2 linked regions of the Ovis aries genome follow. The protein of the gene in region 2 purifies or fractionates together with the protein of the main gene of each other region. This does not show direct contact. Links are inferred from orthologs where the notes say so. Each region holds a gene or a part of one and is shown on either strand. Other genes may lie near its edges.

The links. The genes of interacting proteins can lie anywhere in the genome.
Region 1: the proteins of SLAMF1 (region 2) and PTPN11 purify together in Homo sapiens (affinity purification with western blotting; 3 studies listed by BioGRID and IntAct, with this or other methods). This does not show direct contact. The link is inferred for Ovis aries from reciprocal best matches to the Homo sapiens genes SLAMF1 and PTPN11.

The regions. Positions count from the first base shown.
Region 1 is NC_056070.1:61,963,566-61,967,621, forward strand, and holds the start of PTPN11 (tyrosine-protein phosphatase non-receptor type 11), read right to left. Parts: upstream 2,813-4,056; 5' UTR 2,606-2,812; coding exon 2,592-2,605; intron 1-2,591. UniProt on the Homo sapiens protein: Acts downstream of various receptor and cytoplasmic protein tyrosine kinases to participate in the signal transduction from the cell surface to the nucleus. Positively regulates MAPK signal transduction pathway. Dephosphorylates GAB1, ARHGAP35 and EGFR.
Region 2 is NC_056054.1:111,728,919-111,733,272, reverse strand, and holds the end of SLAMF1 (signaling lymphocytic activation molecule), read left to right. Parts: intron 1-3,596; coding exon 3,597-3,832; 3' UTR 3,833-3,849; downstream 3,850-4,354.

The sequences.
Region 1 (4,056 bases), on a different chromosome or scaffold from region 2:
AGAGGAGCGTAGTAGGCTACAGTCCATGGGGTCGCAAAGAGTTGGACACGACTGAGCGACTTCACCTGACTTCAAACTCTGAAACCACCCAAATGTCTACCAACAACTGGATGGAAAAATGAAGGGTGGTACAGGCATACAGTGGAATATCACTGATCAATAAAAAGGAACTATTTACCATACACAACAACATAGATGAACCTCAATATAATTCTGCTGAGCATAAGAAGCCACACACAAAAGTCCACTTGTATAAAATCCTAGGAAATGCAAACTAACATATAGTGACAGAAAGCAGAAGAGTGTCTGCCTGGCAACAAGGAAGGGATTATAAAGGGTTCCGGGAGCCATCACAGGAGTGACGGATATATTCATTATCTTGATTGTATTGCTGGTTTCTTGAGTGTATAAGTGTGGAAACTTATCAAATTGTATGCTTAAATATATGGAATTTGTGGCATGTCACTTATACCTCAATAAAGCTGGTTTAAAAATAATAAAAGACCTATGATCTGAAAACTAATAATAAATAATCCCCAACTGTGTGCACTGTTGTTGTTGTTATTTAGTTGCTAAATCATCTCTGACTCTTTTGCAACTCCATGGACTGCAGACAGCCAGGCGCCTCTGTCCATAGGATTTCCCAGGCAAGAATACTGGACAGGGTTGCCATTTCCTTCTCCAAGGAATCTTCTCCACCCAGGGATCCAATCTGAGTCTTCTGCATTGGCAGGTGAATTCTTAACCACTGAGCCACCTGGGAAGTCGTGCATTACAATCATTTGTGTGTGTGTGTGTGTGTGCATTACAATCATAATCTGACTTCTTAGGGGGCACATATTTCTCTTCCAAAACAAGTATGGGAGAGCCGGAAGAGGAGAGGAGGAATTACTTCATTTCAAACTGTCATCTTTACCACTTGCTGCTTTGGCTCTTCTCACACTTCCTGGCTTCTAAATTAACAAGCTGGACAATGTAGGGTCTATTACTACCCAGCCCCTACCCCACCCCCAGTCCCCAGACTTTTTGTCTCCTAAAAGAAGCAGATCCTTACTTGTCTGGAAAAGCAGACACAAGGAACAAAAGGCTCAATGACTATTTGACAGATTAAAGAATAGAAAACTGTTTTATTTAAACGCTCTCTAAAGAATTAGAACATCTGAGGCTATACGCTGTTCTGCTGAAATGCAATTATATATTACCCAGATCTGTAAGCACTTGCCAGAAGACCTGTCCAAATCACTCACTGCTTGAGTTTTCAGTTTTCTCCTTTCACTCTTTTCATCCCATCAATGAATAATGTGCAGGTGTATTTCTGAGAAGACATTCCTAATGTTTTGAAGTTTCTCAGTCAATAACCCCAACAGCTTGAAACAGTTTTCCAAATGTCTAAGACAGTGTGAATTCTATACAGAATGACAATACAATAGCAGGATCATTATCTGAAAACAATCAATCATACTAATATTTAACAACAAAATTAAGGCTTACAAATGATTGGCAATAGTTATAATAGCAATTAACAGTGGGGTTCTGTCTCCACCACTTACTGATTGAGTGACCTTAGGCAAGAGTCGGACACGACTGAGCGACCAACACTAGCACTAGAACTACTAGGCAAGTTGCTTAACTTCTGAAATTCATTTACTCTCTTTAGAGCGGGATAACAGTACCTACCTGATAGGGTTATAAGGATTAAATGTGTTTGGCATACGGTAAGAGCTAAATAAATGTTAGCAATTAGTAGTATAGTCTACTATACTACTTTCCAAGGATCTCATTAACTCACTCATCTTCCTTCTGACTTCTAGGTTCAAACCCTGTCATTTACCAGTATGTTTCTTCTGAGCCTCAGTTTCCACATCCGTAAAACGGAGGTAATTAATGTTACCTGACTTTTAAGGTTGTGGTGAAGGATTAAAATAACTAGAGATACGATCCCTTCCCTCCCACCTCCCAAAGCGAAGATCGCAGAGGAAGGAAATACTTCTAATAGCTGCAGATATAGTCAGTTTTTCCATTTCTGGCACGTGAGGGGTGGGGGGGGGGGGGAGAAGAAGATGCAAAGAGGCATACAAAGTGGTCAAGGACCCTGAGTAAAGCCCCCAAATGCGCGCAAAACGCAGAGTGACCCAAAAAGGCTCGACTATCGGCCTGGCCTCGCGCAACTCTCTCCTCTCCCCTCCCGCGTCCCGGGCCGAGGAGCCTCCCCTAAGTGAGCGGGGTTATTTCGGAATCACCATGAGGCAATTCTCATGAGGCAATGGGTCAGGAATGCGGCGCGCCGAGCCGAGCCGCTAGCGTCCGCGGTTCCCCGGGCGGCTCTACCTGTCCCCGTCCTGACGGGCATCCCCAGGGCTGCGGGAGCCGGAACTCCGTGGAGGCAGGAAATGAATGAGGACCCGAGGGGTTGGGGGCGCGCTAGGGCCGGGCCCCGGGGCCCTGGAGGGCTTAGGGGGCTGGAACGGAGCCTGCCCCGCGACCCCGGGCAGGAGTCCGAAGCCCAGCCGAGCCGCCCCCTCCCGGGCGGAGCTGACTGAAAGCGGCGGGGGCCGGGCCGAGGCCCGGGCTAGGCCCTCGGGGCTCCTCACCTCCGCGATGTCATGTTCCTCCCGCCCTCCGGCTCCGCGACGAACCGGCTCCTTACTCAGGCTCCACTGGGCCCGGTCACATCGGGCTGGCCCGAGGGAGGCCCGCTCCGGACCGGACGTGGGGGGGGCGGGCAGAGCCAGCCGGCCGCGCGCAGACCCCCCTCAAGGCCTGAGGAGCCCGGAGACTGTGCAGCCGCCCCCCAAGCCCGGTTCGCTCCTCCTCCTCCTCCTCCTCCTCCCCCGCCCTTCCCCGCCGGCTCCTCCGTGACGTCACTCCCACGCGACGCCCGCCGCTACTTCCTGCTTCCATTCTGCGCTGAGGCTGGTCATGGCAGTTCAGTGGATCTGTGGAGCCTCTGCCGCGCTGTTCCCAAAGGACCTTCTCATTCTCCTTTAGATCCTGGCGTTAAACCGTGCGTTGTGTGCTCAAAGTTACACGCAGTCGCGTGAATTGATTCTAGCTGCTCCCACAGCGTCAATTTCCATCCCTGCGCTGTGAAGTCGAATTTCATTCATTTCATTCCTCAAATAGTTGTTCCACTTACTGCTGTGTAACCTTAGGAAAGAGGTTGGGATCGCAAAGAGTCGGACACGACTGAGCGACTGAACTGAACCTTAGGAAAGTTGATTTCTCTGAGCCTCCATCCTTGATTTCTGTAAAAAGAATAGTAATTGTATTTTCTTCTTAGGATTATGAGGACGATTAAATATGTAAAATGTTTAGAACTAGGCCTGGTCTGTTTAATAAGTTCTCGGTAAAAAATCCGCCTGCAGTGCAGGAGACCCTGGTTCGATACTTGGGTCGGGAAGATCCCCTGAAGAAGGGAAAGGCTACCCACTCCAGTATTCTGGCCAGGAGAATGCCAAGAATTGTATAGTCCATGGGGTTGCAAAGAGTCGGACACGACTGAGCGACTTTTACTCACTCTCTCCTGTAGTTATTGGGGCTTCCCTGGTGGCTCAGATGGTAAAGAATCTGCCTGCAATGCAGGAAATCCCAGTTCAATCCCTAGGTCGGGAGTATCCCTTGGAGAAGGGAATAGCTACCCAATCCAGTATTCTTGCCAGTAGAATTCCATAGAGAAGCCTGTGATGCTATCGTCCATGGAGTCACAAAGAGTTGGACACAACTGAGCAACTAACACTTTGACTTTTTCACTTTTTTTGTGTGTCATTATTAGCTCTATTATCATTAGAAGGAAACGTGAGCGTTTTCTGTCTGCTAGGCACTGATTTTCCACTATAGAGATAAAAGTGAACTGAAAAGACAAAAATCCCCGATATTCTCATGGGAGGAGCTACAGTAATCGATAATAAATAAAACAATTGAGATAATACCCCCAATACTCATCTCCCTTCTTTTCTCCATTGCCCTTTATATTACTTTAAATGGGGGTATTTAGGGAAAGCTTCACTAAGGATGATATTTGAGTCAAGGAGCAGTCTAGTAGTGAAGTTGCTCAGT
Region 2 (4,354 bases):
ATTAAGGCAACTACTCAGCAGCCATTGCACTTTCTTGGACCTCTGTTTCATTATATGTAAACTGAAAAGGGTGAACTCCTGAAGCTCTTTCCCGAGTAAGTAGTCTATAAGTCCATTTTTATGTACATTAATAAGAAATGCTAATGAAGGATTACCGTTTGTATATTCATTTCCTAGGGGTGTTGTAAAAAGGTGCTGCAAAGTCAGTGACTTACATAACCGAAGTTTATTGTCTCACAGTTCTGGAGGCTAGAAGTTCAAAATCAAAGTGTCAATAGTGTTGTTTCTTCTGACGGCCATGAGGGAAGGAGCTGTTCCATGCTTCTCTCCTTGGCTTGGAGATAACTGTCTTCTCCTTTTGTCTCTTCACATTGTCTTCCCTCTCTGCGTATATCTGTCCTGATTTCCACTTATTAAAATGACACCAGTCATATTGGATTAGGACCCACCTATAATTACTTTGCTAGGGTTGCCATAACAAAAACACCACAGATGAGGTGGTTTAAATAACAGAAATTTACTTTCTCACAGGAGAAAGGAGGCTAGAAGTCCACGATCAAAGTGTTGGAAGGGTTGATTTTTTCCTGAGGGCTCCCTCCTGTACGGCAGATGGCTGTCTTCTTGCTGTGTCTTCATGTGGTCTCTGCATGCTCATCCCTAGCGACTTTGTATGTCCAGATTTCCTCTTACAAGGACACTAGTAAGATTAGATTCAGATCCACCCTAATGACCTCATGTTAACTTGATTACCTCTGTAAAGACCCAGTCTCCAAATAAGGTCACATTTTAAGGACTTCAACATATGAATTTTTGGGGAAACACAGTCAACCCATAACACAAATAGAGATCCCCTGCCCTGCCTCCAGGGATGGGGAACCACAGCATTCGAGAACCAAATCACACAGCTAGTCTGTGGCATGCCATTTTCAGTACACCAGATTGCCTAAATATGGAAAACAGAATTTTATTATTTCGTTGATTTGGGTTTGCAAAAGAATATCACTGATTTTTAAAATACCATGCTTGGTTCAACAAACAAAACATTACTGAGATTCTGCTATGTTCCAACGTTGTGCTAGGTGCTGAGAACACAAAGACAAAAAAAAAGACACACTCTTTGCTCTTAAGAAAGGGAATAGCTCTATAAGTAACTATTATTCCAGGTTAAGTAGTACAATAGGGGCAAAACAGAAATATGTGCAAGTTAACCCAGAGGAGGGAATGATTGACATTGTTTCAGGGAATCAGAAAGAGCATCATGGAGAATGTGACACAAACTAGGTGTTGAAGAATAGATAGAAATTACCCAAACAGATAAGAGAAAGACACTCAAGGCAGAGAGAAAAGCAGATATAACTGGGCCTTGTTCTGTATTGTCCTATGGTATTCTGATGGGAACTAATAGATAGTTTTAGACAGAGGATAATGTGATTAGTTTTGCATTTCAGAGAGAATTTTCAGTGGTGTGGACAGTAGACTGTGGTGGGGAAGAAGCAGAAGAAAAAGAAACTAGCTGTGGGGAGGGCCCATTATTGCAGTTACCCATCAAGAGATGATGAGTCCTGAGCCAGAGCACTGGTTGTTCCCTTAACAAAGATCTCATTCAAGGGAGGGAAATCCCAGTCTTGGGATGATGTGGTGGGGTATGAGGATTTGCTAGAGGTCTCTTTGTTATCTATAATAAGGACAGTGATCTTGAGACATTTTTCACTTTCCTTAATGAAAAATTCGAATGGTAATGATGTGATGAAAGCAAATGTAACATGATGTCAGCACTGGTTCTCATCAGGACTCAGACTAAACCACACAAGAACGTATTTGTTTTTCAAGATCTTTTTTTCCTAACAATTGTCCAGGCTCTCCATCATATATTCATCTTTATTCCACTTGTTATCTCAGTGTTTTACAGCAAGAAATACCTTCATATCTATTGTTATGAAGCCTCTTTACTACAAAGTACTTTCTTCGTGGCTCAGTGGTGAAAAAAAAAAAAAATCTACCTACCAATACAGGAGATGCGGGTTCAATCTCTGGGTCAAGAAATTTCCCTGGAGAAGAAAATGGCAACCAGTATTTTCCAGTATTCCTGCCTGGGAAATCCATGGACAGAAGAGCCTGGCAGGCTACAGTATACAGGGTCCCAAAGAGCTGGACATGATTTAGTGACTAACAACAACAACAAAAAAACAAATCCAAGGATGCTACCAAGCCTTCTCCTAGGTCATGTTAATGTGGGTCAGCACTGGACAGTGAGTGACTTGCTGCCATCTTTCATGACTGTGTTCTGAAATAGTTCTGTCTGTGCAGTAGTGAGTAATACTAAACCTTAAACAGTTGAACTCAGAGGGAATGCCCCTGGGAGCTCATTTTGAAAAGAGGACCCCTTTCAGTAGATTAGCAAAAGGTTGGCTCAGCAAGTCTAGGTTAGCTCAGTGGAAGGAAAATCTGACGCCTGCCAGTGAGCTCCGGGGGCTCCCCCTTTCTAACAAGGCCATCTCATCAAAAGGGAGCTCCCATTGCTACTGAGTCATCTAGCTGTTCTGTGTACAGGCAAGTCCCTCTCCCTGGTACTCCCAACCCAGGAAACATGGCAACAATCTTGGAAGGATGAAACCTGTCCCCTCTCATGGACCAGAGCCCTGTCACGTGGCCACACCTGCTACACAGGAAGCTGAGAAATGGAGTCCTTAGCTGGCCAGTCATGTGACTGGACAAGACTTGCTTTGTCGGGGAAGGATGAAAATGGCCCCAGGGGTTACACCCAGTCGTCCCTGCAACGCAATGCTGGGTGGGATAGCAAGTGTGAGGGATTTTTCTGGAAGCTGAGAACTCTGTGTAATAATTTTTACTTGGGTGGCGCCATATCTTAAATTAGTGTATGGTTTGGGACCACCCTTCCCCCACTCCCAATTCTGAGAGGAAGCTGCCACCAACAAAAAGGTGTCTCTTGAAGATGACTGACTTCTTCACGTTGATGTGCTCCAGGCAGACAGCCTTGCTGACAGACCACATGAAAGGCCGGAAAGAGATATGGCGCTCTCAGACCGTTATATTAGCATCTCGGTATCTCCTGGGGTGAGCTACATTTGTTTCTCAGATCCTTTTTATTTTCTTCTTTATCTTCCCTTAAACAATTAGAATTTGGGGACTTGAGAGAGACTTTTGTGTTTCTGTGGCAGCAGACTTTCAGAGATAAATAAAAAAGGCCCTTCAGCCTTTTCCTTAGAGGCGTGGCTACCTGCCGAGTTATCAGGTCTAAAGCACAGCCAATCAAATAGAAGACCAAAGGATGGAAACTCACGCAAAGAACTCTTCATAAATGGCACTGGAGTTCTCAACCAGCCTGCTCAGCTGTCTCTAAGAGGTTCCACGGAGGGGGAAAGTCCTAAGTCTCCTCTTTAAGAATGTTCAGGGACTTCCCTGGCAGTGGTTAAGACTTTTCCTTCCAGTACAGGGGGTGTGGGTTTGATTCCTGGTTGGAGAGCTAAGATCTCATGTGCCTTTGGCCAAAAAACCAAAATATAAAACAGAAACAACGTTGTAACAAATTCAATAAAGATTTTTTTTAATGATTTTTTTATTTTTATTTTTTAAAGAAGACTGTTCAGATAAGGATTCTTTTTGGACAAAGACCGGGACCTGTGGACCCCAGAACAATGTTGATCTGATTTCTGAGCATCGTCATCCTGAGGGGCCTCACTATATGAGCAAAAAGAGGGAGAACAAAAAGAGCCAGAGTCCCTGCCACAGGAAGTGGTGGTTTGAAAATGGGAACACAGATGGTGCTGAGAGCACAGATGCACACCTTGTTTCTGGTTCCATTCGGCTATAATAAAGCACTGCCAAGTAGGTCATTGATTGTTCCCTTCCACTCCTGCCTTGGGCCATTCAGAAGGTGACCCTGCATTCCTTCTGAGACCTTCTTATTTTGTGTATGTGCATGCACGCTCAGTCATGTCCGACTCTTTGCAACCCCACAAACTGTGGCCCTCCAGGCTCCTCTGTCCATGGAATTTCCCAGCCAAAGGGTATATGGCAGTCTTCTCCAAGCTTCATTCTATGGCTCCTAATTTAATTTAACTTAAATCACTTGTCCACCACGTGCATATTGAGTGCCCCCTGCGCTATACTGTGTCATGTGGAAAGGGGAATGCGTGTGAAGCATAAGGTACAGGATCTACCTTCAAGGAGTTTACCATCTAGATAGGATTCCTACACCTTACTGGGTTAGAACTCATGGTCATATTAAAGAAACCACTATTAGAATTCCTCTCTGGGAGGGAACAGAGCTTCTTTAGGATAAAGAGCTTCATAAATGCTTTATGAAGAGTATAAGCTGCTCTTTATGGAGAAC